Drosophila melanogaster: one gene and its partner. The protein of the gene in region 1 purifies or fractionates together with the protein of each later gene. This does not show direct contact. Each region holds a gene or a part of one and is shown on either strand. Other genes may lie near its edges.

The links. Proteins that work in one complex are often made in the same cells at the same time.
Region 2: the proteins of dpr5 (region 1) and DEF8 purify together in Drosophila melanogaster (affinity purification with mass spectrometry, with the first as the bait; one large-scale study listed by BioGRID). This does not show direct contact.

What each region holds. Positions count from the first base shown.
Region 1 is NT_033777.3:11,497,964-11,506,043, forward strand, and holds dpr5 (defective proboscis extension response 5), read left to right. Parts: upstream 1-2,020; 5' UTR 2,021-2,389; coding exon 2,390-2,465; intron 2,466-3,106; exon of another isoform or gene 3,107-3,153; coding exon 3,154-3,282; intron 3,283-5,448; coding exon 5,449-5,817; intron 5,818-6,331; coding exon 6,332-6,589; intron 6,590-7,310; coding exon 7,311-7,489; 3' UTR 7,490-7,563; intron 7,564-7,625; 3' UTR 7,626-7,988; downstream 7,989-8,080.
Region 2 is NT_037436.4:12,130,581-12,134,477, forward strand, and holds DEF8 (differentially expressed in FDCP 8 homolog), read left to right. Parts: upstream 1-1,565; 5' UTR 1,566-1,642; coding exon 1,643-2,396; exon of another isoform or gene 2,397-2,448; coding exon 2,449-3,173; 3' UTR 3,174-3,254; downstream 3,255-3,897. Other genes in the region: Lsp2 (larval serum protein 2), read left to right, coding at 1-935; CG5645 (uncharacterized protein), read right to left, coding at 3,296-3,897.

The sequences.
Region 1 (8,080 bases):
TGTCGGTCTGGCATGGTGGAGGGAAGGGAGTGGGAATGGTAAAGGTGGAGGGGCACAGGATGCGGAATGGAGAGGAAACTCCCATGGAGGGCGATATGTCGCGTCGCTGTTTACACAAACAAAGTTATCAATTTTACACACGACAGTCGCCCCCCATCCACCATCCCGCACCACACATCCACATCCCCATCACCGTTTCCCCAGCACAGCACTTCCCAGCGGAAGGGCTTCCAAAGTGGTTGGGATAAGGCAGGGGAGGGGATGCAGAAGGAGCAGCCAGGTAGGAGCAGCGAATGGCAGCGTTTCCATCAATTCTGTATGCAATCAATGTCCAAATCGAAGACGCAAAGCGACGAAACCCCACAGTCATAACAAATACAGTAGGGATTCCCTATAGCGCACGCCCCTAGAGTGCAATTCAAGCACGAAAGTAGCGTTCTGTTGCATTTCATTTAAAGTTCCTGTCCTCTTAGAACTGGTTGTAAAGTTTGTTCAACACCAACTTCTTTTAGCAATGTTTAAAAACCCATTCGAAACTTTATAGTCTCAAAAAAAAAAAAAAAGAGAATGTCAAAGCAGCTGAGTTATCACTGTTTATCAAAAGAAGACTACACGGAATGGCACTTGTCGTTCCACTCGAGAAGTTTCAGCGAAAGTGATCCTTTCATCGGACTGCTTTGAAATATTGAACTTAACATATTAAAGCATACTTTTCTGGGCAACTGGCAGCGTATCAAAAGTTATCGTGGCCCACAACCGCACTTTAAGCGCCTTACATTCTTGCAACAATTTCTGGTGACTTTCCCCCCTATATATAGTAAACATTTTTCATAATTCTGCACCCCTATTCACCGACAGCCAGCGATGAAAACAGAATTCACTTAGGGCTAAAAGAGATGGATGAGGGGCTGGCAAAATGTCGCCGCTTGTTAAATTTAAGGAATGTTTGGCTTGTTAGTGTAAAATAATATGAGCGACGTGGGTGGTCTATCCCAACTGAGGCGCCCGCTCGTCCTGTTGTCTATTTGATTCGCCAGGATATGCTAAAACAGGAGTAGGTGAGGAAGTCGAAGCACACGACGCGACGAAGAAAGAATTCCACTCAAATTGCATTTATTGGAGAAATATTTATAATAACTTGGAAATTCAATTTCCAAAGAAAATATGCTAAACGGATTTCAGGGGGGTACTGCAGTCGACGAGGGTGTGGAAAAGGCAGAAGGACTTTCCGAGGTGAGGATGCCAGTCTGCATGTGTGTGTGTGTGTATTCCAGTGGCTTGTCTCGTGTCAATGGCTCGTGTGTGTCGCCTGTCTGTGTGCGTGCAGAGAGATATGTTAGAAAATTAAAATCGACCATATGTTGCCTCATCGATTTTGATAAGTCGCCCAACGGCAGCACAGCAACATGAGCAACATGGGGCGCGGCATGAGTAGGGAGCAGCAGTAGCAGCAGCAACAGCACCATGGCCGCTTCATATCCGTTTCCGCTTTGACACAATGGGCGCACAATGCGTGGCACTCGAGTGCTGTGCGAGTGTGTGTGTGGTTGTCTGTTGCTGCCACTGCCACTTTCAATTGCAAAAAGCTGGCTTAAAAAGGCGCCTTGTCATGCATGAGTTTTCCGCCTTCTATTATTGATGTTGTTTTGTGTTTTTGTGTATCATTATTGCTGGTGCTGGTGCTCGCTGCTCCATTGTTGCTCCTTTCTTGTCGCCGGCCGATCTGCTGCTGTCTGCCGTTTGCGTGACACAAATCAAACGTACCCTACTAAATATTTCATAAGCACATTCAGCCACGCACCTCCAATGAACTTTAAGGACATGCAGGAGCAGGTCTTAACCCTCCGACAACCCACCCACGCCTCCTAATATGATACGATGGCTTACCATTCAATTTGGCTTCAATAAATGTTGCCGCAACATGTTGCTGTTGCGCCGGCGCAAGGACACTGCTTCTCCTGGAGATTTGCATATTGTTGGAGGATTCGCTGGAGCAGCTCCGTTCAGTTGTTTACCGCGCCTCAAGCCACACACACGCAACGAGCGCTGACAAACCGGAAACTCGGGGAACTGTGTCCCGTGACCCGTGAACTGCTACCCGTGACTCTGGGAAATCGCTAGCCGTGACTCGTGTTCGGCCTGCTCGGCTGGCTTTCGTATCTCGTATCTCGTATCTGGCGTCTCAATCGGAATCGGAATTGGAATTGGAATCGCGTCATTGGAGTGACTGATTTTGCGAATTGGTGGTGCTGGTGATGGTGCTGGAGTGTGTCGGAGTGTGTGGATGAGTGCTCCTTACGTAGCGTAAGGGCTGTTACGTAAGCCAAGGACCTGCTCGCTCCGCGGAAAAGGACACAAACGCAACGCGCTCGAATGCGTTACGTTGCGCATGAGATGGCGGCACGCAGTTCGCGCTACATTTACTTCGACCACGGCCACCGAATCTAGTCCGCTCATAGGAAAAGGTAGCTCCTCATTTGCGCTAGTCCCTCAGTTCCTCCTCCTTCTTTTTAGCTCCACGTCCCTGTCGAATATAATTAAGTGTATTATCAGAACGTGACCAGAGCGAAATTGCTGCCTGCGGGCGAGGTAAATGCTCCTGCTTTTCCTCATCCGTTGGCCAGAAGCAATTGAATGGACAGCTTAGTGTGTAATGAAGAAATTACCAAAAGCTCGAATCCAACCACCAGCCCCCCTCCACTTCCAGGATCCTTCTAACGACCCAACGGAAGGCACCCCCCATCCCCCTGCCAAACACTCGCAAGGACATCTTCATCTCGTTCTTGTCCTGTGGGCGTCATGGTGATTGAAAACTCGACCGCACTGCGGTCTTGTCATCAGTTTAAATGAATGTGCTGCGGTTTCCGGAGCACCGATAAGACGGAGCCCAGAGCCTAATCCCTTTCAGTTATTGTTTCTGCACAATTGTGGGCTAAAAAGTGGGCGGGGCTGGTGGCGAGTATCCTTCATCTTTAGCTTCATCTTTTGTGTGTTGCCTTTCGAGTCGATTTGAGTCGCTTCGGTTCGGTTCGAGTTGAATTGAGTAGAGTCGAGTTCTCCGCGATTGCCATCATTTATTTTAATTACTTTTCTGTTGTCGCCCTACCCACTTTGCTCCTGCTCTTCGCTGGTGGTCCTTCGTCCTGGCTGCAGTTATAAGTAATTCGAGAGCCCCACAAATTGCGCATGAAATGTTGGTGGAATACTTTATGGCGCTGCTCGTGATCATGGGATTAACCGCTCCAGTCGACAAGCAGAGCCGGCGCAGCAGCCAATACTTCGGTGAGTACGGATTTAAATCTAATCAGACAACACTCAAAGGGTTAAGCCAACCGGGGACTGGGCAGTCGTATCAGAAATGGCATAATAAATGAGAATCGCAGAGCGAATGGTATTGGGAATCGGAATCGGAAGTGGGGAATCGGGAAGCGCGAAGCAATCTAATTAGATTGAGGGATATGGCGGGGATTACAAGGGGTCACTGATCTCGCAGTTGGGGCAGAGGACACACTTTAAATACTCAACTGCTTAAGCGGTTAATGAAATTAAAAAACTAAATTGCTAATACCTTAATTAAAATTACTTTTAGATAGATTAAAGGAGTTAAAGTTAAAGGAGTTCAGATTAAAGGAGTTAAACGAGCACAACGATTATGACTTGAATAAAAGAAATTAACTCTTTTTTTCGCCATATTTGATTTATATTTGATTTATAATTTTTTGTGCAACATAAGCTTAAACGTAAAAAGCATGTTTTATTAAATTTCATACAATTAGTACTTTGTGAATTTGTATTTCCATTTTTTCATATTTCTCAAATCCCTCAACACATATTTGCCTATTAAATTACACTTATGGAAAGTAACTTTTCCGGTTAGTTATTTTTTCACACAGATGTTTTTTTTTTTTTAAGTTGCATACATGGTTTATTCATTTAAATCCTGCAAACTTTTAATGTGGTTTAATGTGGTTCAACACAAAGTTAAATTCCGCTTCGCTTTTTGCAACGGAAGGGAGCAAGCTGCCTAATGGATAACTGATCTCTAAAAGGGGATCCGAATTAGGTAATCTGCACTCGCAGCTGTCAGGAATTGTTTATGATCCCATCTATTTCGCATCTCTCTGCTGCGAGTGAATTTGATGCGGGACCCAGGAGCAGCTGCAATTGCTCATTTGTAATTTATGGCACCTGAACTCAGTTTAGGGCCCGCTTGGGGAACTGCAGCTAGGGATGATGGGGATATGGTGATGAAGGAAGAGCCGGAGGTTGTGGATGTGGATGTTGAGGTCCTGCAGAAGCGTTAGCCATGGCCACTGAAGCTGCGGTTGCGGTTCGACCCGGCAATTTTCCAACTTACCACCCCGCACTTTGTATGTAAATACGCAACTTTTATTAAAAAATTTTATGTTGTTACATATTTCCTGCCGTTGTGCGGGAACGTGTGTGCGAGGGAGTTTTTTTTTTTTATTTTGTGGCCAGCATAAAAAGCAATTTCAGTTCAAGTGCCTTGGCCTGGCCAAAAGCAAAAGCAAAAGCAACAGCCATAGCGAAAGCTAAAGCATCGTCATAGTCATCGGCTGCGGATCAACAGTTTCAATTAAGTGTTAAACGTCATTTTATTGCCTGATATTTGATAGCTAAATTTGCTCAACCACACTCGCACACAATATGGATCCTGGCCTATAAATCAATATGTGTTTATCCACTCCACATCCACATATCCACATAACCAATCGAGTAGTACCCAGTCCCTTCTCCTTCACATCCCACGCACAGCTGTATTTGTGTTTGTATTTGTTTAGGCACTCATGGATTATTAGCGCATTAGTTGGCTAATACATCGCCATTTGGGCGGTGGAGCTGCAGCAACAATAGCGCCAATAGCACCACCACCCACATAAATCACTTGGCCGCCCAGCGATGGATCATAAACGCGGGAATGGCTCCAAAGGGGTGTAGGCTTAAGCTCCGGCATAAATTAAGCACAAATACTCGTTAATCAAATGAATGCTGATTGCCAGCTGAGGCATCCCCGCCAGCTGATTGAGCCAACCAATCGACCATCCATCTGTCCGTTTGTCCGTCCGTCTGTCTGTCCGTCTGCATATCTATCTATTCATCTATCTATCTGCCAGTCTAACTGTCTATCTATCCGACGCTTCCTGTGTTCATCTGCCTGCCTGCCTCCTGGGCTCAGGTCCTGAAATGCACTTGAATACGTTTAGATTGACGTTCAGATACAACTGGTGGAATGAACTACCCAGGGAATATTTAATGGGCAGCTTGAATATCTAGGCCCTTTATGTACTAACAATATATATTGGCATAGATTCTGTTTCCGCGGGGATAAATTTGACGTTTAGAGGGTTATTCATATCCTTGGGTTCTTAAAACTTATTCAACTTATTCAACCTTTTAAATAATTATAATCTGTTTACTGTTTTACAGGCCATCTGGCCGCCGCCGAGGAATTGTCCAACTTGATACCAGATAATTACGATGCCATCGATCCCGTGTTTGACAACACAACAGATCGGGAGGTTATTGCAGCTTTGGGCACCACCGCCCGTCTCCACTGCCGCGTTCGCCACCTGGGCGACAGGGCGGTGTCCTGGATACGACAACGGGATCTCCACATCCTGACCATCGGCATCATGACCTACACGAACGATCAGCGCTTTCTGGCGCGGCACATCGACAACTCCGACGAGTGGGTGCTCAAGATCGTTTCGGTGCAGCAGAGAGATGCGGGCGTCTACGAGTGCCAGGTGTCCACGGAGCCCAAGATCAGTCTGGCCTACAAGCTGGTCGTCGTGAGTAAGTATCTTTCACTAAGAAGAGCTATGAACAAGACACTTGTCACTTTTGAGCAAATGAATATATCCAAAACTATATTTACTGATAATATCCTTGTGTTCATAACGAATCGAAGGGCTTCAAATAATTCTCTGTTGGTATGTACATACCACTAAACATTCCAAATCCATTTGAATCCGCTTAAGTTTGTTCCGAACCCTTTCATGACCCATCATAATTATTCAATCGAAATTCAGCCCCAAGTTCCTGTTTTATTACTCCCATTGAATCTCAATCGATTGGCGGTCTTGTAAGACGTTGCTTACATCTCCGTTTAGACAGCAGCGCAAGGGCGCGAAGGGCTGGGATTACTTTGACAAATTAGTTTATCAAACACCCCAGTACATCACACGACAAACTAGGATGGGGCATGGGAATAGGGATTGAGAAGTTGAGGGGTTGAGGGCTATGGATCCACCCAATAGGCAACTTGTTGACATACCCATTAATCGAAAACGACGCCGCTCTTTGACAGCCTCCAAGGCTCAGATCCTGGCCAACCGCGAGCTGTTCATCCAGAGTGGCAGCGACATCAATCTGACGTGCATCGCACCCCAGGCTCCAGGACCCTACACGCACATGCTGTGGCACAAGGACACGGAGCTGGTAAGCGACTCGGCGCGGGGTGGCATCCGCGTAGAGTCCGAGCAGCAGATGAAGACCAGCAACCTGGTGATATCGCGAGTCCAGCACACGGACTCGGGCAACTACACCTGCTCCGCGGACAACTCGAGTGAGTCCTTTAGAAATGCATGAACTGTTAGATTAAGGACACTAGGTGAATACATATGCGATTAAGGTGTGTGTGTCGAAAATTTAATTTAAATCCAATTAGTCCAAGATGGAACTGACAGTTTTACAACGAAAGTTCGATTTCATTAAATACTTAATTACATTTGAAACACGCCACCAACTGACTCGTATAAAATATTTACACATGCACATGACTATCGAAAAGTAGTTGCACATATAAACATCGTAAATTAACCATCAAATACTGAAAATCAAATTAATTCAATTGCTTACTTATTTATGGGTGTAGTATACATTGTGATCAGTTACAATGTAAAATATACAGATTTCACTTTATCCATAGCTACAAGGCATTAAGTTAATGGTGGCTTATTGCATAAAATAATATTCTATAATTGAGTTTACATATTGAATGCATATAAACTCAATTATGAAATTTTATTCGAAAATAGCAGTGCACATTTATTATTGTTATTTATTCAAGGAGATACAGTTTTTAAAAAATAACTAATGTTATTACAATAGCTAATAATACTCTTGCTAAAGCAGCCATACATTATACATTCAAATAATTGTTTTCACTGCTTTTCGTACAGAGTATGCCAGCTTTAATATTTAAATTCAGCCCTTTAATAAGTAACGACCTAAAATATTTATTTTACAATTTTCTAACCCACCCTTTTGCCACCTTTTCCCAACAGATTCTGACAGCGTCTTTGTGCATATCATTAAAAGTGAGCAGCACGCGGCCATGCAGCACGAGCTGGGCTCGAGGCTGCTCCTGCCCCCTCTGCCCCTGTTGCTCCTGGCGGTCCTGCTGGTCGTCCTGCTGGGCCCCACCTCCAGCCTCCAGATTCGCACCCCGCTCTCAACCCGCTAAGCCGAGCCAAAGACGAGCGGCAACTTATGTTCGATGTCTGGAGCCATGGGAGCCCCGTTATTCCTGGTGGCCGGGTAAGTCGGTGATTTTTAATGCCACCATCAGCTCAGGAGTCGTAGTCATCATCTCGTTACAGGCCACGCCTCCACGTCACAGTAACCGCCCACATTGGAGGAGCCCGGTAGAAATTGCTGGATGCGGAGGTTAACGACGTCGATGTCGCGTTGTCTTGTAAATATGTAAATTGAGTTTTTGTTTACGTTTGTGTTTGTGTTTTGTGGCTCAGTCTCTAAGTATTTTTATACGTAATTAAGTAAATAGGTGGAGAGAGCATATGTGCTGGCTAGGCTATATATAGTCAATCTTGGCTATGTGGCAAATGGGACATATACATTTTGTTCACACACGATCGCATACCTAGAGATACTAAAAACGAGCAATCGAATCCGAATCGAATCGAATCCGTAACGAATGTAAATAAATGTTTAATCTTAATAATAGATAGACGAGATCTAGATTAATTATGATAAATCGGTTGCAATTTAATTTTCTCCACCAATGATTGATGGCGATATGAATGTGAACGAATTC
Region 2 (3,897 bases), on another chromosome or scaffold:
AGAGCTTCCCTGGCCTTTTCATGCACTACGACACCTCTATGCGCGATCCGATCTTCTACGAGGTATACAAGACCATTGTCAGCCACTACTGGCATCTGATGGAGACCTATCCGGAGTACCACAAGAAGGATTACGCCTTCGAGGGTGTCCACATCGATGCCGTCCACATGCCCGAAAGTCTGACCACCTACTTCGAGCACTTCGACTCGGACATCAGCAATGCCGTCAATGTGGAGCCCGCCGTTGAGGGATCCGCCGATCCGTTGTACACCTTCGGCAGGAACTCCCACTACAAGGGATCCAGCTATGTGATCAAGGCCCGCCAGCAGCGTCTCAACCACAAGCCCTTCGAGTTCACCCTGGACGTGACCTCGGACAAGGCTCAGGATGCCGTTGTGAAGGTCTTCATTGGACCCAAGTACGATGAGCACGGACACGAGATCCCACTGGAGCACAACTACCAGAACTTCTTCGAGCTGGAGCACTTCAAGGTGCATCTGGAGGCGGGCGTTAACCACATCAAGCGCGCCAGCGGTGACTTCTCCTTCTGGGTGAACGATCGCACCACCTACCTGGAGCTCTACCAGAAGCTGATGGACGCCACCAACAGTGACTACAAGTTCAAGCTGGATCAGTCGGAGGCCCATTGCGGCGTGCCCAACCGAATGATGCTGCCGCGCGGCAAGAAGGGCGGCCAGGTGTTCCAGTTCTTCTACATGGTCTACCCGTACCACCAGCCCGAGGTTGCCCAGTTCACTGGCTACGATCCGGTGGTCAGCTGCGGCGTGGGACACGGTTCCCGCTACGTGGACGCCCTGCCCTTCGGTTTCCCCTTCAACAGGCCGGTGAAGCATGACTACTACTTCGATGTCCACAACTTCAAGTTCGTCGACGTGAAGATCTTCCATCGCGACGAGCACACCAATGTGGTCTAGATCCTGGACCCAACGAATACGAACCCCAAAACGAACCAACGATATTGGATAGATTACATATGTTTTCCTTGTTATATCTTTGTCTGCATCCACTTACCCCATAGAGATCGTAATTTAACTCAATTTTTACCCAGCTTGTCAGTCCACCTTGTGACCATCGAACAATAAACGTATTCAACACAAGTCACTCTCTTTTCAATTTTTCAAAATATATTTTTGGTTTTCTAGTTATTTTCCTCTACTTACAGAATATATGTAAATAGAAGGAACAATAGAATAAAGGGCTTATTGATACTAGTTTTAAAGCCTACAGTTTTTAGCAGACGAATTTTCAAGTTAAAAATAGGCATTTTTATCTGGAATAAACACAATAGATTGTTAGATTTCTTAAATTACAATTTAATATTAAATGGTAAAATATGGTAACAAAAATATTTGCTTTATGCAAACCACGCTTGACATATTTCAGAATATGGTTTCAAATTGTATCATATTTTAAAAATATTAAAAGTTAAATTCAAAATATTTATAAATAATTAACCCTCACATTTTTTCTTTCACTGTATTAAGGTGCATTCCAGGGATGCGTACAACCACCTGCAGTTTGCCCCGTGAACGATAACTAGTTCGCTCATCTGCACCAATTGCTCGCATCCCTGGTCGCTAAAAAAACACACAAAGACTTGTTTTGTTGTTCTTCCCCAAAAATGAGCTCCTGGAAGGACAGTCTCACGAGCATTCCGGGCACGGTGGCGCAGTTGATTAACGAGAGCGCCAGCAACCTGTTACACGCCTCATCCACGCTGGGATCAACAGTTGGCCTTGGAGGCTCTGGCTCCACTGGATCTGGATCCGAGGCCGGAGGCTCCGAGGAAAGTGGTCCACAAGGTGCGGAGTACAGGGCGTTGCCCATTCCCGCGTCCTTGGTGCGCGAGCAATGGCGCCTAATCTTCACCAGCGATGCCAATATCCAGGATTTGCAGGCGGCCATCGCCCATTGCAGAGATCTCGTCCTGCTGAGCGAGGAACTCAGCGAGGAGCGTCGCTGGTTGGTGCGGCACCTGGTAGATTTGCGATACTCACTGCAGGAGCTGGAGGAGGCCCAGGAGCAGCATTCCCTATCGTCGGACATGGTAGTTATGAATGCCATACGTGCTGTGGTGGGTCATCATTTTGTGCCCCATCACCCGCATCATGGCAAACGGAATCGTCTGCAGGCAGCCGCCAAGAGGAACTACTGTGACCACTGCACCACCATTATTTGGAGTGTGGTGCAGAACTCGTACGTGTGCAGCGATTGCGGATTCCTGGTCCATCAGAAGTGCATCGATGGCGTGAAGAGGGTTTGTGCCCATGTCCTGGTTTCAGAGCGGCAGCATCCCATTTCGGAGATATGTCCAGAAATCGGACTCGCCTCCCAGGGATACAAGTGCGCCGAGTGCGGGACGATGCTAAATATAAGTAAGTTAAGGCTACTCTTTTGGTTCCGAATAATTAGACTCCTTCCTCGTAGAAAATACCTGGATTGAGCCGCGTCTATGCGACTATAGTGGATTGTACTACTGCCCTCGCTGCAACTGGAACGACAGTAACTTTATACCAGCCCGCATTATCCACAATTGGGACTTTTCGCCACGCAGAGTGTCGCGCACGGCGCTCCAAGAGATTAGGTTGTTCCTAAATAAACCGCTCATTCGCTTGGAGGAGGACAATCCCAAGCTGTTTGTGTTCGTAGAAAAATTGTGTGCGGTAAAGAAACTTCGCCAAAATCTGGTGCATATGCGCCACTATCTGGCTGCCTGCAAGATTGCCAGCGAGTTGAAGCTGGTGGATCAGCAACTGGGTGTCCGGCGACATCTGGCCCAGTCAAATGAGTTCTATTCCCTAAGTGATCTCAGCCAGGTGGAATCTGGAGCGCTGAGCGAATTTCTGCAAGGAGTTTTCAAGGCATTCAATGATCACATACGATCCTGCCCCATGTGCCTTGCCCAAGCGTACATTTGCGAGATTTGTAGCAACAACGAGGTGATCTTTCCCTTCGACGATGGCTGCATCAAGTGTGATCAGTGCAATTCCATCTTCCACCGAGTTTGCCTCACGCGCAAAAATATGATTTGCCCCAAATGCATTCGCATCCAAGAGCGGCGTCTTCAATTGGATCGCATGAAGAGCACCGAGGACGATGATGATGATGATGATGGAGTGGCCACCGATGATGACGTGACTGCCGCAGAATAACTGATCAAATCAGAGTTCATTGTGCTGTGTTGGTTTTTAATATGTTATCATATGTACATAAAATGTAACTATAAAATGTATAACTATATATGAACTTTTATTCTTAGATTTATCATAACTCTTTAGTTATCCTTTTTTCCATATTTTTCCCGCTTGTGGAATTTTCTGGGATTTATGCCATATGCCTTTAATCGATCGTCGGTTATTCCACTATTGTTATTTTGCTTGTTTTTCGCCTTAAAGTTGTTCGTTTTCTTAGCTGGGAAGGGTGCACTTGGCTTTTGGTTTGATTTCTTAAAGGGATTGGTGCCGTTAGCGTTTCTCGGTCCCTTTTTGTTTCCACCTTGATTTTTATGAATTGGTGGCAGTTCCTGCCTTTGTTGGGATTTCGATTGTGGCTTATTGAAAGGATTATTACCATTTGATTTTTCTGCTTTTGCAGGCGCACTTTCCGTAGTTTTAAATGGTTGGTTCGACTTTGTCTTTGCACTTTTATTTGCTTGATTTTGGGGTTTTTGGAATCCATTTTGCACGTTTTTAGGCTCTTTTTTGTTATTTTTTAAGGCATTATTGTTTTTCGTTTTCTCCGTGCTTTGTGGACTGTTTTTAGTTTCCTGATTTGCGTCATCTTTGCCCTTTTTAGAGGGAGTATCGACTTTTTTCTTAGAACTTTCTGCCTGGACATCTTCAGTAGATCCATCCGCTTCCTTTGGATCCTTGGAGT